4 linked regions of the Rhinolophus ferrumequinum genome follow. The protein of the gene in region 4 purifies or fractionates together with the protein of the main gene of each other region. This does not show direct contact. Links are inferred from orthologs where the notes say so. Each region holds a gene or a part of one and is shown on either strand. Other genes may lie near its edges.

Region 1 (7,528 bases), on a different chromosome or scaffold from region 4:
ATTGAGAGAAGGTGTGTTTTAAAGTGTTCTGTAAATCATCCATCATCATGACAATTGCTCCATGTCACACATCGCTTCAGGTATACAGCAATCTCTGTCAAATAAAACCATTACGGTCTGTTCTCATCCACCTTATTCACCGGATCTGACATCGTTCAACTTCTGGCTCTTCCCTAAAGTCAAAATGATTCAGGACATCGAGGCAGCCACGACAGCGCAACTAAAGACTCACGAAAGAGGACTTCCAGAACTGTTTCAGAAAGTGGCAAGAATGATGGGATAAGTGTGTTTCAAGGGAGGGGGAATATTTTGAGAGGGATTAATGGCAATGTGTCTTTTAGTGTAATAAATTTTTTTATTTAAACATTCACCATATTGTTTGATCACACCTCATATATGTCTAGCCACTATGCCGTACACCTGAAATTAATATAAAGTAATAATAAAAAAAAGAAATGTGTGAATATCAAATCTCTTGAGGAGTAGGAGTAGACAATAAGGGGATAGGGAGTATGAATATACCACATTTTGTTTATCCATTTATTTGTCGATGGATATTTGGGTTGTTTTGACCTTTTGGGCATTGTGAGTAGTGCTGTTCTGAACATGTGTGTAAAAGTAATTTAGCACCTGTTTTCAATTCTTTTGGTACATACCCAGCAGTAAAATTGCTTGGTCATATGATAATTCTGTTTAACTTTTTGAGGAACTGCCAAACTGCTTTCCACAGCAGCTGTAACAGTTTACATTCCCACTATCAATATACAAGGGTTCCAATTTCTCTACATCCTTGCCAACACTTATTTTTTAAAGTTATAGTCATCCTAATGGGTGTGAAGTATTTCATTGTAATTTTGATTTACCTTTCCCTCATAACTAAAGATGTTGAACATCTTTTCATGTGCTTATTGGTCATTTGTACAACTTCTTTGGAGAAATGTGTATTGAAGTCCTTTTGCCCATTTTTTAACCGGTTGGTTTATCTTTTTGTTGTTGCGTTGTAAGAGTTCTTTACGTATTCTGGAGAGTAGACCCTTATCAAATATATAATTGGCAAATATATTCTCCCATTCTGTAGGTTTTCTTTTTACTCTCTTGATAGTTTAAGTTTGATGCACAAAAGTTTTTAATTTTGAGGAAGTCCAATTTATTTTTTCCTTTGTTGCTTGTGTTTTTTGTATCATATCTATGAATCTATTGCCAAATCCCAGGCAGTGAAGATTTACCTGTATGTTGTCTTCTAAGAGTTTCATGATTTTAGCTCTTATATTTAGGTCCTTCATCCATTTTGAGTTCATTTTTGTATATGGCATTAGATAAGGGTCCAAATGCATTCTTTTGCATATAGCCAGTTATCCGAGCACCATTTATTGAAGAGATTATTCTTTCCCTATCAAATAGCCCTGACACTCTTGTTGAAAATCAATTCAGTATATACGAGTATGTTAAGGTTTATTTCTGGACTCTTAATTCTATTCCATTGGGTCTACATGTTTACATTTATGCCATTACTAGTTTTGATTACTGTAGTTTTACAGTAAGTTTTAAAATTAGGAGTGTGTGTCCTCCAAACTTGTTCTTTTCAAAGATTATTTTGACTATTTGGGGTTCCTCTGCAATTCTGTATTAATTTGAGGATCATATTTTCCATTTCTAAAAAAAAACTATTAGAATTATGATAGGGATTACATTAAATCTATAGATCACTTTGGGTAACATTGTAATCTTAACAATATTAAGTCTTCTAATCCATAAACATGGATGTCTTTCCATTTATTTGAGTCTTCTTTAATTTTTTTTCCAGCAATATTTTGTAGTTTTCAGTGTACAAGCCTTTCACCTTCTTGGTTAGTTATTCCTTAGCTATTTTATTCTTTTGCATTATATTTTAACTGTGTGTAGATTTTTGAAAGCCGTATTGAGGAGTCACATTCAAAGCAAAGAAAACCATGTAAGAGATTCACATCTCTTATATCTCTTACCTCTGTATTAGGCGAGCTACATCTAGCTGGGAATGGCTGAATCATCAAAGTGGTGTGGTAGGGACAAGGTGAAAGAGTGAGCAAGAAGTGAGTATGATGCCTTACAAACTATGAGAGGTGATAGATAGCCAACCAGGGATTCGGGGCTCTCCCGGAAGTCTAGTTAATACCTTCTCTCTTCTTTGACCTCTTAGACATCTTTCTGCCCTCTCAGTCATAGCTGATGATCTCATTGAGACAAAGAAACCATTAAAAAGGAACTCCCTCATTTCCACATACTAAGTCATTATTCCTATCTGTATGTGCACCCATGGACTCCTTTCCCCTTGTTACCAGGGAGCAGGTGATTTTTCTAGCAAAGGTCACTTTCTACTTGGGTTCCCTGCCCACATACTCAATACTTTGCTGCCTCAGATATCCCCTTTCTCTCTTCTTCATCACTGTTTCTCTCTCCATTGCTTCATTCCCATCAGTCTGCACACTCTGTATAACATTTATGTCATTTATGCCCCCATCTTAAAAACACTCTCTCTTGACCCCATGTTCCCCTCGAACAACCACCTAATTTCTCTGTTCTATGCAACAAATTTCTTGGAAGAGATGTTTATACAAGATTTCCTCTACTCCTCAATTTTTATTAATCTTTTAAAATTTTACTTAATAGGTAATATATGTACATGGAAACAGAGTCCCTCTATTTCTGTACCTTAGCCATCAAGCTCCCTCCCAGGAGGCAACAACTATTCTCAGTTTCTTGCATAATTCCTTCAGAGATAGTCTATAAATTCAAATATACATATAGTACATATGAGCAACACAAATAGTGAATCCTAATGTAAGTCACGGACTTTAGTTAATAATAATATGTCAATACTGGTTCAATTATAATAAATGCATCACATCAATACAAGATATTAATAATAGAGGAATCCTTGAACAGGGGAAAAACGGAATATATGGGAGCTCTGAATTATCTGGTCAATTACCTGGAAAACTAAAACTACTCTAAAAAATAGTCTATTAGTTAAAAAAATAGCTATCGCACACTACTCTTAGGTCAAAATGAAAATCAAAGCTAAGAAAATCAGACTATGTAAAATATACCAATAATATAAAGCACTATAAGGTATATTAACAGTTAAAGCAGAGCCTAGGTGAAAGTTGGTAGACATAAATATATATAGTAATAAGATATATGAATATAAATAACTTAAGCATCACTATAGAAGTTAAAGCAGAAGGAATTAGTAAATTCCAAAGCAGAAACTAAAGAATCAGAAAATAGAAAAACGCTGGAAATAATAAATACGAATGCAAGAACTGGTTCTTTGAAAAAACAAATAGTAAAAGAGACAAACTATTAGTTAACAGAGGAAACTGGTGGCTGAGGAAGGGGTGGATGGGACATTTACTTTAAAACTGAAAAATGAATGCATTATTAAATATTTCAGACATATCAAAAGGCACAGACAATAATGTAAGACACAACTGTGAAACCACCACCAATCTAAAGAACAAAATATTACCAAAGCATTTGAAGCCCCTGTGCACTTCTCAATTACATCTCCCTCCAGTTCACCACTATCTTGACATTTTAGTGTTTATCATTCCAATGCATTTCTTCATAATTTTAAAACATATATGCCCCTAAAAATTTACGTAATTTTGCATGTTTTGAACTATATAAAGGTGATTTTACACTATTCTTCAACCTGTTTGCTTAACCGTTTTTTAGATTATCCATGTTAGTAGATATAGCACTAGTTCACTCCTTCTACCTGCTATATACAACAACCACGTTGTATAAATATACCAAGGTTTACTTATTATTCTCGTTAATGACAAGTTTACAGCTTTTTTTGCAATATAGTGTTGCCATGTACATTCTTGTATCTGTAGGTGTATCTTTGGGCACGAGTGCAAGAATTTTCCTAGAAGTGAGGTAGGCACGTGTAATTTCACTAAATAATTCCTAATTGCTTTCCCAAGCACTCCTGTCTATATAGACTACCAAATAGTTCCAGTTGCTGCAATGCTCAACAGGGAGACGGCGACTTTTCACTCTACATTTTGATGTTGATGGCATTTCACGTTATACAATTTCTTGAATTTTTATTTCAATTTATCCTCACAAAAAGCCTGTGGGTTGGGTATTATTATTTACATTTTGAAGATGAGAAAAAAATCTCTTCGTTTTAAGACGTTTCTTTTCTTCTTTTTAAGAAGTGTCTTACTATTCAACTTAGATAATTGCACTTTTTTCATGCCAGTCTTGGAAAAACTGTCTGCTTGCTGGCGGTTTCACTGGGTATCCAGAGCCGGCAGCTTTCCCCACTCCTCCACCTCTTCAAAACCTGCTCGACACTCCGCCACTCCGAGGCCATTGCGGCTTTGTAACGCGGTAGAATAACAGAGTTTGGACCACTGGAGTCACCGTAGTCCTCCCCTCTTCTCCCTCCACCTCTTCGGTGCTTCGAGGGAGCCCTCCGCCGCGCTGGAGTAGGCGGGGCCGGCGACTTCGGGAAGTACCGCGCTTCGGGATAGGCCAAGGCTTGAGGCACTAGCGCTCCGGTCTCCGGAAGTGCTGCTGTCTCTCTCTGTCTTTCTGTCTCTCTGTCTCTGTCTCTCTGTCTCTCCCTCCCTCTCTTTCCCCCTCCCCTCCCCCTCTCCCTCTCCCTCTCCGTCTCCCTCTCTCTCACTCTCTGTCTATCTCTCTGTCTCCTGAGCCGCAGTCGCTGAGGTTGGACGGCTGCCCCGGAAGTCCTCCCCCTTTCCCCTCCCGTGGCAAACATGGCGGTGGACTCAGCGATGGAGCTGTTATTTTTAGATACTTTTAAGCACCCGAACGCTGAGGTAAGTCTTCACTATTTGATTCTGACCCTGCTTCTCGACTTTGGTACCCTTACAAAAAAATCCTTAGGCGTGCTTCCACTTTTCTTCCTGCCGGTTGCCGCTTTAATTCCTCACATACACCCCCCCTCCCTCCCAGCAGTGTGTGGGTACTGCGTCTGAGGGAGGGCAACGGTGGCCCCCACATTTCTCTGCGTTGTTACCTCAGGCTCCCGCCTCTTTGGTTGAGGTGGCTGCTCAGCTTGTTTTGCTCTCCCCCTCCCCCCTTCAGCTTTAGGCCTTGAAATGATCTTGGTTCTCAGGTGTACCTCAGGGGGTGTTTGGGAAGGGTCCTCAGACCGCTTGTGTTTGACAGTAGTGCAGGTAACCGATCAGCTCACCTTGGCTTCGTGGTTCCTAACTCCCTTCTACTAGGTCCATTTCCTAACGGGAGTTGGGTTGCCCAGATGTGGCACTCATTCGGTTTAGGATTGCGGCGTTCTCCAGTTTGCCCTGAAACTTTAATACTTACCTCCTGGAAAGATTTCACTCATTAGGACATGAAATACTTACATGGAACGGCTTTTGCGTGGAGAATACCTGCGAGGAGGGGAAAATTGAGAGAATTGTAGTCAAACTATAAAGCACTGTAGTATTGTCGTTTTGAGGGGCGAGGGTGGGGAATTGTGGAGTAATCGTTCGGTAATAATCTGAGCGGCCCTGAACATATATGACTGGCTCTGCGGTATGTAAATTGAATGTAGCTAAATAGCTATGAGTTCTCGAAAGCCGGTCAAAAATGAACATTAAGAAAGTCCACAGAGAAATTAAAGAAACCTCAGAACCCACACATTTTCTTTCAGTGTAGACTTAATCATTTTAGAGAACTATTCTTTCCTTGGAGATAGTGATAATAGTGGGTAGTGGTTGTATCTTAATGCTTTACTTGACAAAATAAAAAAATGTCAACGTTGGTCTTCTAGTTACTTTAATGAGTGGTTTATAGGTGTATAAAAATAAAATGTTTGGAAACTTTAGCATGTCTTACTAACAATGAATTAATTTGTTGTCTCGCATTTCATGTAGGTCAATTAGCTCTTTGTTCAATGACCATACTTTTCTGGCTGTAATTCCACCTAGGCTTTAGAAAACTCACAATGGAGGCCGTAGTTGGATCAGAACAAACCTGTCATGTGTACAGAAATAGAGAACAGTTAAAAATGAAAGAAAGAAGCATATGATGAATTAGTAGTATTTTAGTTTAGGAAAATTAGCATTCATTCACTTATATATTTAAGAATCTGGTATTTCTTTATTCATTCTTAGACAAACATTGAGGACCATGAGAGGATAGGAACAGTATCCTGGCAATGTTTGGGGAAGGCTTAGTAGAGATCACATTTGAACTGAGTCCTGAAGGAGAAGTGGGAATTTATAGGGGGATATGGATTTTTTTTAAAAAAAATTTTAGTTCTGGATCCTGATTTCCTGGAACCTTTTCCTGTATCTGAAGCCTATTTTTAAAAATTTATTATTTTATTTGTCAATTACAGTTGGCAGTTTATTTTATATTTGTTTTAGGTGTACAGCATAGTGGTTGGACATTTATATAATTTATGACGTGATCCTCCCATTAGTCTAGTATCCACCTGGCACTATACTTAGTTATTACAATGTTATTTTTTGACTTGGGAGGGATATGGATTATTGAGATGTTTTGTTTTAAAGGAGTTTATAACTAAGTATTGGAGAGTAGGTCTACAACATTATGATTCAAGTTAGAATGTGATGAGTGCATAAAGAGACAGAATGCCCATCACTTTCTGACATACTAGGACCCCAGTTGGTATTTATTTAGCCCCCTTTTGTTGGTACAAATAAAGGTTGTGTGATTTCCGAGGAGAGATCTTTATTTGAGAGCATTAGGAAAGACTTCATCAAGGCAGTTGGCATCTCAACTTGATCTTTGGTGGAAGAGGGTATGTTCCACAGTAGTAGACAGGAAAGGAGGATATTCTCTTGGAATAGTCAGTCTTCTGTAGTGTATGCGAAAGTAGCAGTGCGAAGTGGCACCTGAAAGGTGGTTCCAAGCCAGGTCATAGAATTCCTTGATGCTCAACAGAGGAGTACAGACTTTATTTTGTAGGAAATGGGTAGTTTTTGAGCAGAGTTCAGTTTTGGACTTGCTGAGTTTGTAGTGCCAGAGGAACATTCAAATGGGGATATCCAGTTGGCAGTTTGATATAGTGGTTTGGGGCTCCGGAGAGATGTTCGAGGTGGAGATAAGGATTTGAAGTCGACCTCTGGCAGTGGATGAAAATCTTATTTCTTGTAATTTTATTTATTGTACTTAGCTACTCTGCTCTACTTCCCTCTCCCATTTTGCCCTCTCGACATGGTGAACTGTGCTTACAATTACTTGACCCTTCCAAGTTCTTGTTTGCTTTCCTTTTGTGCATGTTTCTTCCTTTGTCTGGAAAGCTCTTCCTTCTCTTTCTCTTCCACTGATTCTTGTTTTCCTTGCAGACTTAATTAGCTCAGGTGCTACTTCCCAGACACTCTTTTCCCCCCATAAATATTTGCTCACAATCAGAGTTAGGTAAATACTTCTCTGAATTTTCAGTTTTCTGTGTGAGTCTGTGTTACAGCAATTTATCTTTCTGTCTACCCCAATAGATTGTTCCTTAATGGCAGAGACTATGTCTTGTCTTTGTATC
Region 2 (7,572 bases), on a different chromosome or scaffold from region 4:
GTGGGGTGCCGGGAGGGGCACAGGTGAAGGGAAAAATAAGAGCTAAGAGAAAACCTAAACAGAAAATAGCTATTAAGCCGTGGAATTTTCTATTTATCCCTGTAAGGAGGTAATAACTTCTGGTCTTTCGTCCACTATCTTGGGTGTATTGGCCGGGAATCGAACCCGGGTTTCCCATGGGGCAGGTGATGAGAATTCTACTACTAACCACATTGCATCATGGAGAACTTCAGTCAAAAGGATGTAAGAGTTTGGGACTAGCCTCATTGACAGCTCTCAAGTCCTGGACCATACAATATTCTCCATTTGGCTTTTTTACAGGCAGTATATGGGAGTTATAAGGGGACTGAGGATTGTCAGCCCATGACAAATACATTTATCAATGTGGGGTTTTAGTTCCCGATGAGCTTCTGGTCTCAAGTATTGGCGCTTGCATGGGTATCCTGCTGTTTCCTTTATCCTAATCTTTATAGAAGGTACCTGAGTAGATTAGACTTTCCAGGCATTCCCTTATCCCATACTATAGGATTTACAGCCAATCACATATGGGCCGGGATGAGATCCACAGGAACCTTGGTTGGGTCAGAGTCTGAGGCCAAGAGCGACATCAAACGATTGAGTTCATGGGGTGAGTCAAGAAGCTGGATGTTCGTGCCCAGAGCCATCATTAAATCCCTTCCCATTAAGGGAGTGGGGCATTCTGGCATAACTAAGAATTTTTAACAGACTAGACTAGACAGTCTTGGAGGCCATAGCAAAGGGGTGGGGTGAAATATCTTTTTTTAGGTTGGCCATCTACCTCAGTGATGGTGCCAGCTTTAGAGGTCAAAGTCCTGTGCATGATCTGTCAAGACAGAGTAGGTGGCTACCGTAACAATTAAAAATCTATTTTCTTACCTGCTACGGTACATCAAGGGTCACCCAAGGTTTTTGCATAATCACAAATGACGTCTTTCATAAGGCATCACCAGAAGGCCTGTGCTCCTCAGTCCTCCACAGATAGGACCATTATGGGTTTAGGTGCCCCCAGTTCCCTTCAGAGCCAGGGGCATTCCCTCTTCCAGTGGCCTGATTGGTTGCATTGAGGACAGGACCCAGGGGCTGTTTCCTGGAGCAACGACACTGGTTGCTCCAGTGCCCAGATTTTCCACAGCTAAAGCAGCCCCCCTTCGGGGCTGTGGGGAATGTCCCTATAGACCATCCCTTTATCTCTGTGGGGTGATCCTGAGGTTGCAGGGCGCTGCTGATAGTGACCACTACCATTTGAGCCTGTCACCTGGCCTGCCTGGTCTCACACGGGGTCTTTTTATCCTCCTTAACCTGGTCTCAATTGTTAGACTCCAAAGGCCATAAGCAACAATTGAGCCACTGGGGTCAGAGGGCCAGAGTGCAGTTTTTGCATCTTTCTCCTGATATCAGGAGGAGACTGACTGACGAAATGCTGGCCAAGCAGAGATTTTCCCTCAGGAGAGGAAGGGTCAATATTGGTAAATTTTCTGAAAGCCTTGACCAGCTGCCCCTGAAACAAGGCTGGATTCCGCCCCCCCCACCCCCATTCCTAAGTAACCTCCTTGACCTTTTCATAATTGAGTAGTTTGACTATACATTTTTCATACCTTCAGTTAGACAAAGCACCATATGGTCCCTTTTAATAAGATCTCCCTGCCTCAAATGATAATTCCAGGCAGGGTCCTGATTTGGGAGCACAGTTGTTCCCTGTGGGGTCTGTCTGGCTGGGCGGCAGCCATCCTATCTGCATGTCCTTGGGCTGTGAGCCAGAGTCTATGTTTTTCTTCAGGAGTGCAGCAAGCGGACATGACTATCAGGACGTCTCTCCAGGTTAGATGAAAGGCATTGTGAAGGCCTGGAATTCATCAGTAAATTCACTCAGGTCCTCAGAAATATCCTAACTTAATTTTGCATCGGGCAAGGATTGTCATGGAGAATAAGGCATGGATTCTAATGGTCCCTGCATCTCCATTTGCAACCTCTCTGAGTAGACATAATTTGGTAGAATCCGGGTGGTGAGAAGCTCCACTCTGGGTATGTCCTGGGGGGCTAAGTTCAGCCATCTCTTTTGGCAAGGAGTGTCAGGGGGAATAGAGGAGAACGGGGGAGGAGGTGAGCTGGAACTTGTAGGTGGAGGAGAGGGCAAGGGATAAACTGAAGAAACTGGGTGTTCCGGCCCTGGACCTCGCTGCTCTTATCAAACCCCTTCCCTGACAGGACAACAGCATTCCCGATAGAAGGCGACCGTCCAAGAGGTCAGGATTATCTTTAAGTGGGGCAGCCAGGGGAGTGTGAGCATAACAAATTTTACAGGAGCCAGTCTTTTCTGGGTCTCGATAGAGGGCCATCTGTACATACAGAATCGCTGTCCATTTTCCTTCTCCTTTACAGAAGAGGTCTAGTTGGAGAATTGTGTTATACTTTAGGGTCCCATTTTCCAGCTAGTTTTCCCTGTCCCCTAGTTTATATTGGGGCCAGGACATATTGCAAAAGAAAATAAGGCTGACCAATTTAAAATTTTTCGTTATTTACTATGCAGCCGAGTGATGAGTCTTCAGGTGTAGACTAGGAATTTCTCATGATGCCTAGAACAAGAAAACAGAAACTAGGTCAGACTAGGGAGGAGGGCATCCACTGGCTCTTGGTGTCTGACCAGCAAAACCCGGGTGTCCCCAGGGTAGACCTGGGCAGTCCCCAGTATTGAGAGCTCTTGACCCCTGGCGATTCCGGGGTTTAGAGCAGAACAGAGGTTTCCAGGCAACAGAAGCCGGGCTAGTAGGACAGAGGGAGTGGGACTTTGTAAAATGATATTTGGATCTCTCCTGAAAAAGGACCTCATGGCGCACAAAAATGACCCGAAAAATACAAAACTCCTGGAGGGAAGAACTCCTAGATTGTCTCTGTGATAATCAGTGGGAATGGCAAATAAGTGATCTAAAGACTGAATGGATTTCACCTGCAAGATTGGTCTAAGACTGGTTGTCACATCAGGAATCCAACCTGGGCTGCAGCACTGAAAGTGCCAAATCCTAACCGCTAGACCACTGAGAGAGACCACCCCTCTGTGCCCAATCAGCACTGATATATTGGGGCCATGGGCAGCAGACTGACAGCTGTCAAACCCAGAGGCCGCAAGAGACCAAAAGGCAGGAAAGTCAAAAGAGGAGGAGGGGAGCCTGGGCCTGTTCATAGAAGATGAGGATGAAAAAGTGATCCCAGGATATGCAAATAGTTTGTCGCGACAGATTCCACTATTATAGACAGGCTAGACAGACAGATTGGATAACAGAGAAGTCCAGAATCTCGGAGGCCGTACTAATCCTGAGACGGGAAATTGCCACGGGGAAAGTGGAGAGGTATGATTGTGGAACTGTGTACCTCATTGCACGGATATTTTCTTCATTTTGGTAGGGAAGCCTACAGCCAATCTACCCTGATCCATGACCAACTTATTCTGTCATGGGAGTCTTCAAGACCTTAAGTGCTCGGGCAATGGCAAAGATTTCCCATCTGAGTGGCCAGAAATGTCACCAGAGGCTAATGGGTATGTCCAAGAGAGAACTCAACCCAGAGCAGCGGTGACCAGATTCTTGACACTGCATAAGAAAGAATTCACAAGCAAAACAAATGCAGGAAAGCAAAAGCGATTTATTGAAAACAGAAATAAATCTTGAGAAGAAAGTGTGGACCAACTGAGAGAAGGTATCTCATGGAGGAAGTCATGATCAGAGATTTTTATTCCTCCCAGGGAAGGAACTGGTGACATCCCATTGACGTGATTCATTCATCTCAGCCCTCTGGGTGGGACCCTCCGTTTCCTTTTTCTTCCTTAAATGATTCCTCCGAGACCATCATGGTCTCAGATGCATGATGGGAGGCACAGTAACCGCAATGCAAATGACATTATAATGACATTAAAATTGGCTAAACGTCAGATCCCAAGGTCATAGGGATTAGCCTTACTGGATGAAACTGGTTGTTTTTCTCCAGCTGCAGGTGGTGGATAGTCACTTGTTACTTGTGTAACCAGTGAGGTCCTTCATGTTGTATCCTGGAGGGGGTTGTCAATTTCCTAGGCTACCTATCCTGCTGCACTTCTAGTGATTTTTTCCCCCAGCTGATGAGCAACATCATCTTTGTGCGCTAAAATAAACATTTATAAAAGCATAAAAGACCACTATTCTATTTAGTGTTCAATGCTATACCCAAAGTAAACCACAATAATCAGGGTGAAACTCGGGGAAAGGCCCTCAAATCAGCATAGCTTCCTAGAGGACAAACGAAGATGAACAGTAAGTCCAAAACAGACACAAGATGGAGGACAAGAGGGTGAAGAAAAGACTCCGCAAAAATGCCTGGGTGGAGCCCCACGTGATGGGCAAGTAATTCTAAACTCAGGCCCTTCCGCACTATTGGCTTGACGCTCACTCTTTTTCCTTTTCAATTGGCTAAAGATTCCTTCAATGGGTCAAAATAACCAATCGCTGAGCGCGGTGGATAAAGCCCGCCCTCCCTCTCTGGGGAGAGAAGCCAGAACATAAAGTGCTCAAGGCGCTTGCGCTGGCGCGCGCTCCGCGGTTAAAAGTGGATCCTCGCAGGAGGCGGGGTCACCGTACATGAATATTGATTACGCAGCGCCACGCCGAGCACCCTCCCCTCTCGGCTGTCCGACGCTAGCAGCTCGCGCTTGGGCTCGCGATGGGGAAGAAGTCCCGGGCGGTGCCCGGCCGCAGGCCTATCTTACAGCTCTCTCCACCGGGTCCCCGGAGCAGCACACCTGGCCGGGACCCGGAGCCGGAACCCGACACCGAGCCGGACTCGACGGCGGTGGCGCCCAGCCAGTCAGCCCCGCCGGCGCCGCCGCCGACGACGACCACCGCGGTGACTGCCGCCCCGGCCCCGGAAGATTCGCCTTCTGAAGGTAAGGGTGCGCGAGGGACCTCGGCCCCTAGGTGGGGCGTCCACAACTCGAGCTCGGGTCTTGTTGCGGCCTAGACCTCCCGGGCAAGGCCGGGGAGGAAGAGAATCCTGGCGGGCGGCGTCTGCATCCGAGGCCTGCTGCGTGGGGCCTGCGGGAAGGACGGCAGTGTGCCCCAACGTGGCGGAAGGGGCCGCGGAATCGCGCGCGCCAGTCCCAGAGGCGCCATCTCTGTTGCAGGGGTTGGCCCGGGCACCCAGAGTTTCGTCAACGTCCACGCTCGGTATTGGATAACTTACGGGGTAGATGTGAGTATGCGTTTCCGCGTTCGAGGCTTGATGTCTGGAACCTGATCTTTTCTGCACATCATCCGCTTTTCCCTTCGTTTTTGTTGATACTGAAAGAGACCCTTTAGAAGTGAGCAAACCCTTTTTACTATGCCAGCTAAAGTGTAAGTAAGCCCAAGTTGGCGGGTATCCCAAAAATTCCTGGAGAAGTAGAGCTTGTGGGTTCCCAAGTACTTGTGTGTTTCTCCTCGGAATGGTACTTGAATTAAGAGTAACTGGACAACGCTTCTATAAGCCAGACCCTGGAGTGGTTATTTTAGGTGTTAAAAAAAAAAATCACGTTGGTAGCTCATGCGGGGAAAAACATGCTATAGCTGTGCTTGTTGTAAAGGCCCTGTGGTAGCCTGGAGATGATGTGTTTGTGTATTTTTAAATTATTTCAGGTGTAATTTTTATAGGTAACGTTCAGGTTCTTAATGTTAAAGTCACTAGGTGGAGAAAAGAAAAGATAAAAAAAAGTAATTAGGTAGTTGGAAGATTCTAGCTCTACTTGTTTTTCATCTCCCACTTATTTGGGTCAGTGATGGATTATACACCCTGCTTTTAAATTGATGAAATTTAGAGTTGAAAGGTTAAATCAAAGATTATTTTGTCACCTATAGTGTTTTCTCTGGTCCATCATCTGACTGTAGTTTTCTTTTGTTCATTTTCTAAATCCAGATGAACAGGAAGTGGTGGTGGAGGTTCCCAGAGTTGTTCAGAATCCTCCAAAACCAGTCATGACTGCCAGACCCACAGCCGTTAAAGCAACAGGTATAGATTGTTTTTATTTTCTACATCTTTTCTACAGTATCTTTCATTAGCATCAAATTGGGTTTGTATATAGTGTTGTTGAATGCTTCGGTGTTGCTAATTTGTCTTTATCCCATAAAAATGAACATTTAAAATCTTTGTGAATTTGTTGTGAGTTAATATATATATACTACATACAGACACATATATATATCCTACATACACACGCACACACTTCAACCAATGTAAAATTTGTTGCATTTTATTTGGACCCAAAATACTTTGCACTACTTTTTCTTCTAATGCCATTTGGTAATGAATTTTCTGGCTCCCGCCACTAGATTTGTGTTCTTTAACACACTGCTTTGGTGGTACCTAGCAAATGTTTGTGGAGCTGAAAATTGCTTTTATTAAATACTTATTAAGCACTAAAGAGTATTTGCGACAGTGGTTTTGTAGGCAAACCTGCGTTTAAATTGCCACTCTGGCATTCATTCTGAGGCCTCAGGACCTCATCCACCTATACAATGGATCTTTCAGCCCTAAGTTAATTTGATGATTAAATCAAACAATGCGTATAAAGTTTTGACACATAGCAAATGCCAAAAGTGTTAGTTTTCTAATTTCTACCTATCTTGAAAAATTAAAATATGTTTTGATACTAAATATTCTATAATTGGTAGTAATTTTATTCTTTGCAGTTTGGACTGCTTTTTGTACTATGTGACACTGAAATAATAGATGCTTATTCCTCCTCACCGCCCCCTCCTTCCTGTTTGCCACTTAAAACAAAACAAAAGAATCCCAGTCTGAGTTAAAAAATCCCAGTGTGGTTGTGAGAGATATATCCAAAGTAGAAAATACTATTTTGTACTTACTAGCTACGTATGTTATTTCATTTGAGTCCTCTAAGAATCATGTAAGATAGAATTTAAATGTTCCTGGGAGAAATTTCTTTAATTGCTATGTCAGTCAGCACTTTAGGCATTTCTGTGCTTTGTGAACAGAAAAGCTTTTATTCTGTCCAAAATCATCCTGTAAGGTAAACGCTATAACAGCTTTTTTCAGTTCTTAACCTACCAGTTGGTATAATGCATAGAAAAAAGTTTGTCCAACAAAAACCAAAAGGAAAACAATTTTCCATTATTTGCATGGCTTTGTGTAACAAATAGAGTAGATACTCAAGAATTTACTTTTTAAAATATATCTTTATCACGTAAACATACCAAATTTCTTTCCACAAAAATAAAAATTTTAAGTTATTAAATATGTTTTTATAATATAGTAAAACAAGCATATCTCAATACTTTTATGCTAAAAACATTGCATATGCATGTGAAATTAAGGAAAATTTTAGAATAAGTTCTATTAGATCAATTGACCACTTTGATTGTCAACCAGTATTTAAGCATCTTCTAGAAAAGGGTACTTAATGTGGTTCCACAGATGAGTGTCAGCGGTGTGTGAATCCCCTGAAATGGCACACTCAAAGTGTGTTTCCTGGGAGAAGGTCTGTAGCTTTTATGAGATTGATTATTAATAATTTCTGTGACTAAAAGGGTTAGA
Region 3 (7,203 bases), on a different chromosome or scaffold from region 4:
CTGATCTGGAAGGAAGAGCCGACGAGGTTCAACATCAATCAATGGTCCAGAACTTGCTGATTAACTGAACCCCAGTGAGATCTAGCTACTAAAGACTCGGGCAAAAACCAGGACAATCCACCGCCGGTGGTCTCTGCTCACCACAAAGAACATCTGGCGCTGGTCCTTGTGGGGCAGCAAAAAGAGACGCAGCACCGTGGTGTAGGGTATCTTGTAGTCGAAGGTCTTGCCGTGCAGGTGCAGAAAGGTGGGGTAGATTCGAATGTCGTATCGGCCTCGGGGAGTCAAACACTGCAGCTCCCGGAAGATACAGATGGCGTCTCCAGTGGCCTGGATCACATCCGCCTTAGACAACACATTCTGCGCAAAGGCCTGCAAAAGCACATACTGGTCATCCAGTAGCAGGGATTCTGCTCCTGGGCCAGCTAAGGCCTGCTCAATACCATCTGCTCCCAAGGTGACCAGGGGACACCTCACCTCAACGGGGTCCACGCCATCCTCCTGGGTGGGAGGCACGTAGAAGCGCACCTCCATGAGAGAGACCTCTGCGTCATCATTCTGGTGGAACTCCAATGTCACCTCGTTTTTGCCTGTGGTGCACTGGGACACGTTGCTGAGGGGTATCTCAAAGACCGGCTGGTCGCCAATGTCAAAGGAAAGCAGCTGCCCTGTAGGGAAAGGGCTATCAGCCACCAGCTCCTCCCCTCGAGTCTGCAGAAGCCAAATTCCCAGCAGGGCACTGGGCTTACTTTGCTCAAACTGTACCCCCAAGACCAGGCACAGTGCCTGAAACACTGTTGGTCCTCAATAAATACATGATGAATTACAGACTGACAGGAAGTCAGAGACAGTGACAGAAAGAGAGCAAAACAAGTTAAAGGCTGAAACCCTTCATCCTATCTTGTCCCCAAACTTCAATCCTTGCCCAGGACTCACCACCAAACTTCACGGTTCCCCAGTTCCAGCCCTTCACACATAGGTCCTTTTCCATTAGCTCAAGGCGATAGTGAGTTTTGAAGAAATCAGAGAGTTTCTCAAACTCCTGCAAGTGGAGTGGAGAGAGTAGTCCCAGTAAACCCCAGTGCTTTTAACACAAACTTGAACATTCGGGATCATCTATGTCGGAGAAATTGCCCTGATATACCTTTTATCAGAAATCCACGTTGACTTAGAAGCTCAGCTATAAAATTGTTTAAAAGGATGTTGAAAAAGGTTGTTTCTGGGGACTGGCTCTCAGGCTGGGGGGAGAATGAAATACGGAACTGACAATTCCTCACAATGCTATCTGACTTTATAGAGGTGTTGCTTTAATGCAAGTGGAAATTAACGTGAAGTAGTCTTTAACTCAAGCAGTTCGAAATGGGAAAACAACACCCAAACTAAAGCATCAAGCTAAGACGCTGAACCTGGACAAAGGCAACAAGCAGAAACCATGAAAAAAATCAAAATGGTAGCAAATCTTCTGGAGTCAAGACACTAAGACTCCCCCAAGACTCTGCACCCAAAACTGGACACGGACTGCTGAATGACCTCGATGGCCCTGCTCTGTGGAGCCCAAACTAGCAAATACATGGTTATCAGAGGAAGGAGCCCCAACTCTCTCTACATTAAAATTAAACAAGACGACGCCATAAAAGGGGGGTTCATGGCAACAGGGCACCTCACCGATTCTCGGAAGCCGTCATACTTGTAGACATGGCCGTTCTTTGTAAGCAGTTTAAGTCCATGGCCCAGAGCCACACGGCGCCAGATGCCCTCCGTCAACTCCCCCGCCTGGATGTTGTCCACTTTGCCCGTCTTACTGTTCTTGAAGATGATGCCCTGACGGCTCAACCTCAGCCGGCCATCGTTCTGTTGGAAAAATCGACCCAAATGCACGGGGACGGTGCACAGTGCATACTGGGTACAGTCCCACCCAACACCTAGGCTGGCAGGAACAACAGCTGAAGTGGTGAGGGCCAGCAAGAAGGGACAAGTAGCCAGAAAGTCTGGATTCTAATCCGGGCTCTGGCATCCAGAACCCCTGCAGGTCCTCAGGTTGGGGATGCGGGATGGAGCAGCAGGTCCGGTCCCTTCCAACTCTGAGATCCTGTAACTCTTGTACTCTCTCACTATTGCCTTTTGTTAGGGAAACACGAGGTACGCATTATACTGACTCCTTTTTCAAAGTAGCTCTTGTTGACTGACAAAAAGTCCACTCCCTTCCCTTCTCCACCTGTAGTGGAAGCCCAAGCCCTTCTTACCATGGAGCCTTTCACCTCCTGATAGATATCATTGAATTCCAGTGTTTCTGCCATGCTGTCCTTTCCCTTTTGGGGAAAGCTGGGCCCCAACTCCTGGATGGGTGTGCAGATCCTCAGCAAGTTGGGGATCTGAATTCAAGAGGAAAACAGACGAGCGTGAAAGACAGCACTTCACTCTGCCCCCAGATGGGGCCAGGTAGCAACCGTGGCTGTGCCTGGGATGTCTCAGGATCTCCTCTGCCTAGGAGCCTACAGGAGGGCTCCGCAGAGCTCGAGGGGCCAGGCCCAGCCCCGGCTAGAGAACCAGGCCTGGAGTAGCGCTTACACCCTAACCAGACACGGGCTCTGGACGCTCCACCCGGCGCCATGGCAACGAGCAGCGGTATCCCAGGGCCTGCCTGAAGTCCGCACCTCACCCGTGCTCCAACCCAGCTCAGAGTGCAGGGTTTCCCTCCCAGAGCTCCCACCGCGCCGCGGCCCCAGGCCCACGGTTCCCCCTCCCCCTAAAATGGATTCGCCCGCTACCCGCAGATTCGAACGCGGAACGGTCCATCTCGAGCGTCCCGGGGGGAAGCGGGACCCGCGCCCTCCAGAGGCCCGGGGACGGTGACCACCCACCTCTAAAGCAGTAGCCTCGTGACGGCCCAGGTGCGGGCTGTGGGCGCGCTAGGGGATGCGGGGGAAGGGGGGTAGGGACACAGGGGGTAGGGGAACACTGGGGAACCTTTTCCCGCGTGCGCGCCCCAGAGTCCCGCCACCGGAAGCTGTGCTCGGATCATAGAGAGGATGAGATGGCTAGAGAGGTGCGAGCTCGGCCCACCTACGAGGCGGTCACATAGAGCGTCGGCGGCCCTGGAGGACCTGAGGTCGGCAGGGCGGCGAGGAAGTCCCACCCGCGTGGAATCTGGCTAGAAAATGGGTACGCGTAGGGCTTTTTAAATATTACAGACACTTCTTCAGTGAAGGACTAGGTTCTAAAGAGAAATTGTGTAGTTTTCTTTTATCAGACTTTCCACAGATGTGTGTGTATATGTGTTGGATGGATGTGGGCCCTTCTCTCCTGCCCAATAGTGGTTTCTGTAGAGTAGGAATTTGTGAGACAAGAAGAAAAATACATATTTAAAGAGTTGAGAGAAATGACCCCGCCCACTGGCTGCGAAGAGAATGCGTGTGTTGGTGTCATTGTGACTGTCCTGCTCTCCCCTGTCAGTCACATGAGATTGGATCCTTTTGGAAATGAGTTCACTGTCTGCACCCAAAAAACGTCACATGTCTAACTGCAATGTATGGTTGCCTGGAAGAGGCTGGTAAACGGAGGTATCAAGTTCAAGTGCTGGTGTCAGAGCCAGAGCTGACCTGAAACCACATCAATCTGGGATTGCCGGAGGGAGAAATGCCCTCCTCACATAGTTCTAGGATGCATCTTGCAAAATCAAAGGTGGCCAGACCCAGGAGACGAGTTTGGGTTCGCCAACTCCAACCTCCTTTTGCAGGTGGGAAAACTGAGGCCCAAAGAGGAGTTAACCAGCGTCTCATAAATTGGCAACAAATCTGGAGATTAGAACCCACATGTCCTTGCCCCAGTCCAGTTCTCTTCTGTCATAATCACAGCAACTCTACCTTCAGAACAATTGAGCGTATGTGTCCTGTGCGAAAACATTAGGACAGAAAACTTAAACTCAAGATTTCTCTGAAAATCTGACTTAAACCAGTTACACCAGCTTGCTGACTGAATCCTGGTATAACAGACAGCGGGAGTGCACTGTTGCTCCCTGAACTCATGGCTGTCACCTCTGGGTAATGGCTACTGCACCACTATCTAGCAACATAAATTCATCTGGATTCAATAAATATGTATTGAGCGCCAACAGAGTTCTAGGATCTAAGGATATTTAAGTGAACAAGATGGAAACAGCACCAGCCTTCCAGGAGCATATAATCTAACAAATGATTCAGATGAGTAAGCTGACAGTAAAACAAAAACACAACAAAAAGAAATAAATAACCCAATGTGATAATACTACAGATAGAGTTTCAGCCTCTGCCAATTTCAGTTAGAAATATGAGCTGTGACGCTCCTCGCCCCCTCCCAAGAGACCACCTGAAATATTTAAGACCACGTCCCCCTGCCCCATGCTGTTGGAGGCAACTTGGGAAGGGAGGGGATGGCTGCAGACTTGAGTGGCTTTAGGAAGACCGGAATGAAAGGGGTACTCAGAGCAGGCAGGCTATTAGGTGGCTGGGGGATGGGGCATTGCAAGGGGCTTTAAGGAGAGCATAAAGCAGCTGGTGAGCTGGGATGAAGATGCAGCATAAGAGAACGGAACAGAACAGAAACGATAGACAGAGTGCAGATAAAACATGAGTCCCAGAGGGCCCTAGCCAGCTGGATCCCAGGCAATCAGGAGCCTGGGATTGGAGACCCCACCCCTGCCATGACATCACAGGGGAGTAGGGTGGAGACGAACAAAAAGGGGTCCCCCCCCACCGCCCTGGCCTTGGACTCTTGGCAGCCCAGAGTGTCAAGAGCAGAGAGAGCCTGGGCACTGGACTAGGGTTGCCTAACTTAAAGGAACAGGCTCCCCATTCCTCAAGCCCCTCTACGCCGCCCCTCCAGGCGTTGATCCCTATCTCCCTGTCTGAGGGCTGCTCCCTCCTGAGACTGCCATTGGGTCCCTTCTGAGTGGCCCCCGAACACTCTTTCAACATGAACTGCATGTCAGATTTCTTTACCTACGAGACCACCAAGTCGGTGGTTGTGAAGAGCTGGACCATTGGGATCATCAACCGAGCAGTTCAGCTTCTGATCATCTCCTACTTTGTGGGGTGAGTCTGGCCCCCTCTCCCCTTAGTGTGGCTGTCCAGATTCCCAAGCTTCTCCTCTCTCTGGGGGAAGTCTCTTTTGTGGAGCCATGTCCTTCGGACTGGCCTCTGTGGCCCCATCGGGGATCTGGTCCTGAGATGAGTTCTTTTTCACAGTAAACCCTCCGGAGTTGAAGGGGCTTCCCGAGACACGCAGTGCGAGGGCACTACCCTCCACCAGGAGAGGTCCCAGGTGACCGTCTCCCCTCTCCCTTTTCTCATCTCTCCCCCCCAACCAGAGAACAGACAGACCCCCAAACACACATCTTCCCATTCATCTCAGTCAACCCTTTGGGGTCTCAAAAAGACAAGGGATTCCAGGAATGGGGATAGAAAGGCACTGAAACAAGGGAGCCAGTGACAGGTTGATTGCGGGGTGTCAGGAGGGCCAGCTGGAGGAGGGAAGGAGAGAACTGGATCCGCTTTAGAATGAGGGTCCCCTCCTGGCATGGAGAGATGGGGAGAGAACATGAAAAGGGGAGAAGCCGGGCTTTTGGAGGGTAGGACAAAGCGGGAAGACCTGCCCCTTGGGAGGGAGGGAGAACCACGGGCACCAATAACACTCGAGGGGAGAGCTGTTGAAGAGAAAAGTGGCTTTTCTGAACATAGTGTAGCGTCCTTCCTCAAGAAGCCAGAAACACTCCCCTTTGTCAGAAAACGTAAATTCTCTATTTTTACCTGACTTTGTACTATATAACCCAGCTGGGAGGTGCCTAAGAGCCAGCAAGGTCTGAACACCCCTGTGGCCCCCACCTCTTGAAGGCACCCACACACACACACTCACACTCACACCCATGCACAAAGGGCCATGGAACACACAATGGTGGGGGAAAACACACAGGTTCTGTCCTTCTCATGGTCCCTCACACACACGGGCATCAGGAAATACAGGCCAAAACCTCAAGGGTTTTCTTTCCCGGTGTACAGGTCTCCAGTCTCGTGCTGTTCCTTGAGACAATGGGTCTGTGTGAGAGAGACAGCAAGCCACTGATGGTTGTCATGAGTTAATTCAAGCAAGCCAAAGGAAATATCCTGTGTGCGTACGGGTGGGAGCTGCGTGTGGGGGGCCTCCTTGCCTGAAGGTCACAGTAGTGTGTGAGGGTGTGCGTGGAAATGTGGCTAGACGTGAATTAAGGGATTTTTGCTCCGCGGGCTTAGCGAGAGCCAGTAAGCTTCAGTTATGCGTGTATTGTAGACAAAGCTGTACATCCTGTACTCCTCGTGGGGACATTGGAGAAGGGACTCATGCTTCGGGGTAGGGTTAAATGGCCTTGAAGTTCTCTTCCAAGTTTGAGGTTTTGTGAGATATGATGTTTGCAAACGTTTCCTGCCCGCACCTCCGGAGATTGGCTCAGAGTTGGTTCTTAAAGCTTCCACGTTCACGGGCATGTGTGATGCACTGATGGTTTATATGCAGCCACAGGATGGTGCGTTGGTCCAGGTGAGTGCAAATGCTGCCTCAGCACATTGCCAGCCTGGCCTGACTTCGTTGGGTCCAGGCAGGAGACTGATGGAGGTGGGTAGAGGCACGGGCTCCTGGACCAGCCTCCTCAGCACCCCACTGCCCTTGTCTCTCCCGCATCAGGATGCAGTCTGGTGCTCTGATCCTCGGTGCTGGAGCCGGGCCTGCTGGAGGAAGCACGAGAGGCTCTTTGGCATCTTGATATTCATCCCCATCCATCTCCCAGCCTGACAGCTCCCCACGGGGCAGCTCCTTCCAGTTATATCGCGCCCTCTGCGGCCCAGCCCCCTGGTGTGAGCCCCATTTCTGCACACGCACGTGAGCCCATGCACCATTAGGACTTCCGGAATCCATTGTCGCTAATTTAGCAGAAATGTATTGAGCATCTCTTCATGCCAGATATTGTGCACTGAGGATAGAACGGTGGGCAAAAGCAGACAGGGTCCTCACCCTCATGGAGCAGATCATGCCAGAGATGGACATTGATCAAATAATTTCTGCCAACAAATGTAAAATCTCAACTGTGGCTCAGGGTGCTAGGAGAGACTGCTAGTATGGAGGTGTTTGACCTGATCAGAGAACCGAGGGAAGGTTTTCTGGAGATGTGGCACTCAAGCCAGAATCCGAAGGACGAGC
Region 4 (7,212 bases):
GGACCCCACCTTGAGAACGCCTGTCTAGGTGTATGCCTGGGGTGGAATTGCTGGTCACCAGGTACTGCTCTCAGCAATACCACATCGTTCGCCAACGTGGTTGTGGCTCAGTGTAGCTTACCACCCGTGTTAAATTCAGATTCCGTGTTCCACGGTCTGTCACAGCTCAGTGGTGGCAGCTATCTTACATGGTAAGTCATGCCAGTGCAGGTGTTGTCCTTGACTGACCCAGTGGCCCTTGCGGGATGTGACCACAGCCTGTCAGCACTCAGAATGTGGGGGAATATGCCCATCAGCATCAGTGACAGTGACCCCAAATGATAAAACAGATGTTTACATTTCTTTTACATATGTCACAGCCAGAGTAACAATCTGGAGACAGCCTCGTTCATTATGTCAGAAAAGGCTTGGGTCTTGTAGTCCAGCTGCCTGGGCTGAAATCGCAGCTCTGTGACTTTACACTTCTATTTCCCCAACTATAAAATGGACATAACAATGGGGGCTTTATCCACGAGGAGCTCGGCACAAGGCCTGCTGGAGTGAAGAGCAACACAAACCAACAAAGTTTGTGCCTGTTACCGTGTGGTCTCTTCATTCTGCAGCAGGTGTGAATAGCCCCACTTTACAGAACAGGAAAACTGAGGCTTAGAGGGATGTTGCTTTCACTCTCACACCTGGGGCAGACAGACCTGGGTTCTAATCCGACCTCAGCCATTTTCTATCTTTCTAAATGCTCCCCTCCACCCCAATAAACACACACACACACACACACACACACACACACACACACACACAACTAGATGTTGCAAACATTGTGATTAGCCACTCAATGCCTGACCCAAGGTTACAGGGAGATCACTGCAATCCTGCTCTCCAGGAGCTCGTGCCCACCTGCAGAAATAGACCAGGGCTCTGGTAGGTGGTCCATTCAAGGTGAAACCTGAAGAATGATTAAAAGTTAGCTAGATGAGGGGTGGCCAGTTAGCTCAGTTGGTTAGAGCACCATGCTTGTAACACCAGGGTTGCTGGTTCGATCCCTGCATGGGCCAGTGTGAGCTGCGCCCTCCACAGTTAGATTGAAACAACTACTTGACTTGGAGCTGATGGGTCCTTTAAAAAAAAAAAGTTAGCTAGAGGGAAAGGTGGGAACAGTGTTCCAGGCAGCAGGAGTGGCATGTGCAAAGAAAAAGTGTGGAGCGAGTTGAGAGCCAGAGAGGGAGCATGAAGACTGGCAGGCCAGGCTGGTGGGGCCAGATTACAAAGAGCAGGTACATCAGGCTTTGGTGTTTGGGTGCAGAGGGAGCCCCTGGGGGGGGGGGCCTCAGGCTGGAGTAGTGAGACTGAAACAAACCCGAGATTATAGAAAGATGGCTCTGGATATCTGGGGGAGGGTGGGGGTCAGGGGACAGTGACAGAGCAAGTGGTGGTAGCTAGAACCAGAGTCAAGGGGGATGGAGAAAAGGGAAGACAATTCAAGACTCAGTTGGGAAGTAGAGTCACGGGTACTGGGCAGGAGACCTGCCCCATTTGCCTCTCCTCACCTCTCCCAGCCCTTTCCTCTTTTTCACCCTCACCTCCTCTCAGCTATCCCCCTGCATTTTCTCCCCTTCTCTCCTGTTTCCCTTCATTTCTTTTCTTCTTAGAAAAATAATAGTTTCATTAAGGTATCATTCAGATGCCATAAAATTCACCCTTTTAAAATGCATACTTCAGTGGTTTTTAGTATATCCACAAAGTTGTACAACCACCACCACTGCCTAATTTCAGAATATTTTCATCACTCCTAAAATAAACTTTATCCCCATTTAGCAGTGACTCCGTATTTCCCCTCCTTCGGCTCTGGTAACCACTAATCTAAGTTCTGGCTCTATGGATTTGCCTCTTCTGGATATTTCATGTAAATGAAATATGTAAGTCGGCTCAGGCTGCCATAATAAAACCATAGGCTGGGAGCCTTAAACAACAGAAATTTATTTTCTCACAGTTCTAGAAACTAGACATCCAAGATCAGGAGGCTGGCTTGATTCGGTTCTGGCTCTGGTGAGAGCCGCCTTCCCGGCTTGCAGACATCACCTACGTGTGTCCTCACGGGATAGAGATTGGGAGGGAGACACAGAGGGAGAGGGGACTTCATTCCTTTATATGGCTGAATAATATTCCATGGTGCGCATAGACCACATTTTATTTATCCATCATCAGTTGATAGACATCTAGGCTGCTTCCACTTTGGGGTATTGTGAATGATACAGCTATGAACAGTTGTGTACAGGTTTTTGTGTGCATGTGTGTTTCATTTCTCTTGGATTAGATACCTGGGAGTGGCATTGCTCGGTCACATGACAACTCTATGTTAATGCCTTCATTTCTTCCCTTGCTCATTCATTCATTCAGATAACATAAGGCAAACACCTGAGTTAATTCAACTTCACTGTGGGCCAGACACTCATATTTGTGGGCAAAATGGTGGCAGTCTGCCCCAAGGAGGAGGAGTTTTTCTGGAGGTGGAAGATGGGGTGAAGAAAGGTCTGCTTTGCTCACCATCCCCCAAAACCCTTAGTTACCGCCAGGACCAGCTACATAATTTGCAGGGTCTAGTGCAAAATTAAAACATGGGCCCCTTGTTCAAAAATGATTAAGAATTTGAAGGCAGGGATAGCAGAGCATTCAATCAAGCCCAGTACCCTTCTAAAAGTGGGCTCCTTGTCTCTAAATGGAGAGCGCAGTTTGATCCTCTGCAGGCCGCCCTGAAGGCAATTGGTAAGATGCAAAAATACCCCAAGTACCACACCATGTCCTTCTAATCATGAAAAGTTACCCTGGTAAGCTCATCCCATTTAAAAGATGTGGAGCTCTTTAGTCTGATGGAAATAGTTAAAAATGTTTAAGCTTTAGTATTTAAACTCACTCCATGTCTCAAAATGATTAATTTTGTGTTGAACTGTTTATATTTAATAGAGTGGAAGTTATTTAGTCCCATGGAAATTGTTTTAAATGTTTAGTCTTAGCCTGGAAGAAACCTCAAAGCAGAGGATCAGCTAACCCATGTCCTAATTCTTGACCTACAGATATGTATTACACCCTGCTCACCACCAAAAGTCGTTTCCATCTGTCACCACGCAATTGACCCTTTTACCTGTTTCGCCTTCCCTCCATCCCCTTTCCCTCTGGTAACCACAGGTCTGTCGTCTCTGTCTCTCTGAGTTTGCTTTTGTTTTGTTTTGTCTGTTTTTGTTTTTTGTTTATTTTGTTTTACATTGCACATGAGTGAAATCATATGGTATTTGTCCTTCTCTGATTTATTTCACTTAGCATAATACCCTCAAGGTCCATCCATGTTGTCACAAATGGTAGGATTTCACATTTCTTACCGCTGAATAATAGTCCCTTGAATATAAACATGTATACTACTTGTTCTTTATCCATTCGGCTACCTAGATACAAGTTGCTTCCATATTATTATTACAATAATACTGCAACAAACATGGGAGTGCAGATATCTTTTCAAATTAGTGTTTTCATATTCCTCAGGTAAATACCCAGAAGTGGAATTGCTGGATCACGTGGTAGTTCTAGTCTTAATTTTTTAAGGAATCTCCATACTGGTTTCCATAACGGCTGTATCAGTTTACATTCCCACCAACAGGGTAGGAGGTTCTCAGCTGATTATTCTTAAGAAAGCAGGAATAGTTTTAAAATTTTTAAGTTTTTATACTCAAACTCAGTATCTCAAAAATGATTAATTTTGTGTTGAACTGACTATATTTAATAGAGCAGGAGCTATTGAGTTCCACGGAAATAGTTACAAACGTTCAGGCTTTGATATTTAAACTCAGTATCTCAAAAAATATTCATTTTTTAGTGGGTGCTTACGTTTATTAGAACGGGAATTCGTTAGTCGGAGGGAAGTTAAAATTGAAAGCTGCGAGGGCGAAACCACCCATCGCTGCGCCGGGCGGAGCTCCCCACCGAGAACCCAGGGCGGGAACGTGGGCTCGGGGTGTCACTTGACCGCCTGGCGCCAAAAGCCCTCTCCGCAGGCGCCGTCACCCCGCCAGCCGCACACTAACCCAGAACACCCCTGGGGCGGGGCCTCGGGCGGCGCCTGCGCCCTGGCGGGCTCGGGCGCGTGCCGCGCACCGGCGGGAGCGCGCGGAGGCCGGAAGGAAGCGGGCGGAAGGCGGGGCGAGCGAGGGAAGCCCGCCGGTCCGCAGGACGGTCGCGGCTTGATGACGTAGCACAATGGCCGGCCCCCGGGGGTAGTGGAGCCCGTTTGTTCCGCCCGCGTCGCGCCTCAACCCGGAGCCTGTAAAGAGCGGAAGGGCCGAGGGACGTCTTCCCTGCGCCGGCCGGACCCCAGCGGAACCGTGGCCCCCTCCCCGCCCTCGCGCTGAGGTAAGCGGTGGCGGCGGCGGGGCATCTGGGCCGGCGGTGAGGAGGCCGAGGCGGCCAGGAGGGGAGCGTGGCGGCGGCGCGGAGCCCAGGCCGGGGAGCTCGCCGCCGCCGCCTCCGGGGAGTGCTCCAGGCTGCGCCCCCGGCCGAAGCGTGGTTCTCGGACCCCGGGAAGGGGACGCTGAGATAGACAAGATCCCGCGTTCCGTCTGCGCGAGCTGGTCCTGGGGGTCCTGAAACCCCACAGATCCCGAGCTCCCCGCGGCTGCCTCTGCGCCCCGCGGTGGAGTTGATTCTCTTGAAGCTGTCATTTCTCTTCCGGGACGTTTGCGGGGCACATGTTTGCCGCCCACAAATGTGGGAGTAGGCACGCAAGTTCGTCCCCCGGAGGCTGCCGGCCCGGACTGGGGATGAGCTCTTCGGGAACTTCGAGCTCTCTGGAGCCTCCTGGAACTTGCTCTCTCAGCTCCCCCAGTGTGCACAGGTGGGAGGTGTAGGCTGTGCCTAGAGACGGGCGCCACTTTCTCAGGAATATGGGATTTCCTTGCCCCTTTGGATAGGAGCCCAGAGAATGCTGAATCCTTGGTGTAAACTAACTGCAGTCAGTATGATGCTGGAAGACCTCAGACTTTGAGACTTCCAGTCTTGCTCTTGCTGAAACTTAAGTTCTCCTCACTGCTGTGTGACAGCTGAGTTTGCTGGGGGGAGAGGTTGATCGTTTTAAATGCCAGCAGACGCAATTGTAAGAGTAGGTCAGTCTTCAGATTCATTTGGGGCAAAAGGAGGAAGAGGGTGTTTGACATCTGAAGTGCTGTTCAGGGGCGTAGCAGTGGCTCTCATTTCTCCCGTGAGACTCGCCTCCATCATACAGCCCATGGATTGGTTCTTGTCCAGAGCAGAGTTTGGGATTCTCAGGGAGAGACTGGACCCAGGCTGATTCCCACTTCCAAGAGCTGGGAGGGGAGTCTTGGTCTGCTGATTTTACAATCTAAGACGTGGAACCCAGCCAGCTCTGGAAACTAATCAGCTGTGTCCCGAAGGCTGGAATGCCTCTCCAGTTTTGGGTGGGAAATGCTCAAAACGTTGTAAGAAAGCTTTGTGGAATCATTGCAGAGAGCAAACAGGTAAGCTATGACCTTGCTCACGTTTAAAATAGGTTTTTTGTTTTTAGTTTTGCACAGCTATCCATCGTCTCAAGGTGAGTGCTTCCTCCTGGAGTATTTTGGTGGTCAGGCTTAGTCAGTTGGGGGGTAGTGTTTGTCAGCACGCTCAACATCTTTCCTTTAGGTGACGTAAGTACGTGAAGTTATGTGCCAGAACTTAGGCATTCAGGTAGAGACTGCTCTATTTAAAGCTGTTATCCCAAAAAGTTATCCTTGTATTTTATTGGTGCTCCTTTGCCAAAAACCTCTTGAGAACTCCTGTTTTGGTAGTAAATACATAAGCCATGTGAGAAAATCTGTCTTATTCAGTAGTCACACCCTGGGTTTGACCAAACATTGTCTTACCTTGCTTAATAACTCAGCTCACTTACCAGACCAGGCTCTGAATGGCTTCCTGTGGTTTGTCAAAGTGACCCACCTTGAGAGGAGAAAGATTTGTTGCTACTGAGAGCACCAAGAGAGTGTTTTGCAGGTTCGAAAGGTCACTCAGGAGGGTAGTTACCAAAATGTTCTGTGCTTTAACAGAGCTATTGTAATCCATATGCAGCCTTCCAGAGTGACTGCTGGGAAATGAGACAGCTCCCACTCTATGCTTGAGTGCTGGTATAGTCTTCTAAAAATGAGGCTCTTATTTCAAATTTCTTTTTAGTACGCAACAGGTAGTTTATCAGGTAATGAGCTTTTGTCATTTATTAATTCAACAAACATTTATTAGTCACCATTTGCCAGATGCAGTAGGCAGTGGAGACACAGTGAGTGATGGATAGTTGTTATTCAGTTCTCTGGGCAGGTTCATCATCTTATGGATCAAAAGATTAAAGAATTAGTTCTAAACTTTGCCAAGAATCCTCGATTACAGGGTAATTGTGTGAGAAGAACAAACAGTAAAATCTGGGCACCTGGGACTTAGTGAAGTCATGAGCAGAGTGCCCTCCATTTCATTGTCTACACTTAACAGTGTTTTTCCTACCATCTGACATAGAGCACACATTCAGATATTTGTTAAATGGAGTTCATCTCAAATTAATTTAGGACACAGACACCTAGAGAGACAGTTAACCTGCCCAGAGCATGTCCGGGAACGCAAGCCATCTTCTGATTCCCCAGTGACACTCTTCCTGTTCTGTGTAGCATGGTGTGACTTGGGTTGTTTCTGATAACAGGGAACTTCTTTGGCGTATTTCCCTCTGCAAGGTGTTCACTTGTGAGCATCCTCAGATTGTCAATTCCCAGGAAAGAAGAGATGTGACTCCTTTCCTCAAGAAATTGTCAGGGCCTCCGAGGGTGACTGGATGTCTCCATGAGCTGCGGACAGACCCTGTTCATGCCTGCTGTAATTGTTAACAGTGCCCCTTTTCAGTCTCAGACACGTCCTAGTTTAGACAGTAAATCACATGAGAAGTCTGCTACTACACGCCAGCCATTTGCTGAGCCTAGGGAACACAGGTGAGTGTGAGCCCTCTAGTCAGGCACTTCATAGGGGGCAGTGGAGCCTCCCAACAGACTTTGCAAACAAATAATCTCAGTACAGTGCGGTAATTATGGATACATAATAGAATAATGTACAATATAGTTAGAGCAAGAGTTCTTACTCTGGGGACCATGAATGGACCTCAGGAGATCCTAACTTAGAAGATAAATTGTGGTATCCAGGTTTTTC

Evidence for each region.
Region 1: the proteins of ZC3H18 (region 4) and VIRMA purify together in Homo sapiens (affinity purification with mass spectrometry; 3 studies listed by BioGRID and IntAct, counting the BioPlex papers as one, with this or other methods). This does not show direct contact. The link is inferred for Rhinolophus ferrumequinum from reciprocal best matches to the Homo sapiens genes ZC3H18 and VIRMA.
Region 2: the proteins of ZC3H18 (region 4) and FNBP4 purify together in Homo sapiens (affinity purification with mass spectrometry; 3 studies listed by BioGRID and IntAct, counting the BioPlex papers as one, with this or other methods). This does not show direct contact. The link is inferred for Rhinolophus ferrumequinum from reciprocal best matches to the Homo sapiens genes ZC3H18 and FNBP4.
Region 3: the proteins of ZC3H18 (region 4) and SSRP1 purify together in Homo sapiens (affinity purification with mass spectrometry; 3 studies listed by BioGRID and IntAct, with this or other methods). This does not show direct contact. The link is inferred for Rhinolophus ferrumequinum from reciprocal best matches to the Homo sapiens genes ZC3H18 and SSRP1.

What each region holds. Positions count from the first base shown.
Region 1 is NC_046297.1:35,890,414-35,897,941, reverse strand, and holds the start of VIRMA (protein virilizer homolog), read left to right. Parts: upstream 1-4,519; 5' UTR 4,520-4,772; coding exon 4,773-4,835; intron 4,836-7,528. UniProt on the Homo sapiens protein: Associated component of the WMM complex, a complex that mediates N6-methyladenosine (m6A) methylation of RNAs, a modification that plays a role in the efficiency of mRNA splicing and RNA processing.
Region 2 is NC_046294.1:13,559,149-13,566,720, forward strand, and holds the start of FNBP4 (formin-binding protein 4), read left to right. Parts: upstream 1-4,566; 5' UTR 4,567-4,707; coding exon 4,708-4,930; intron 4,931-5,167; exon of another isoform or gene 5,168-5,235; intron 5,236-5,934; coding exon 5,935-6,027; intron 6,028-7,572.
Region 3 is NC_046294.1:11,754,389-11,761,591, reverse strand, and holds the start of SSRP1 (FACT complex subunit SSRP1), read right to left. Parts: upstream 3,002-7,203; 5' UTR 2,862-3,001; intron 2,373-2,861; 5' UTR 2,298-2,372; coding exon 2,244-2,297; intron 1,852-2,243; coding exon 1,666-1,851; intron 1,043-1,665; coding exon 937-1,042; intron 669-936; coding exon 478-668; intron 373-477; coding exon 142-372; intron 6-141; coding exon 1-5. Other genes in the region: P2RX3 (P2X purinoceptor 3), read left to right, coding at 4,951-5,069. UniProt on the Homo sapiens protein: Component of the FACT complex, a general chromatin factor that acts to reorganize nucleosomes. The FACT complex is involved in multiple processes that require DNA as a template such as mRNA elongation, DNA replication and DNA repair.
Region 4 is NC_046298.1:33,214,155-33,221,366, forward strand, and holds the start of ZC3H18 (zinc finger CCCH domain-containing protein 18), read left to right. Parts: upstream 1-4,212; 5' UTR 4,213-4,392; intron 4,393-7,212.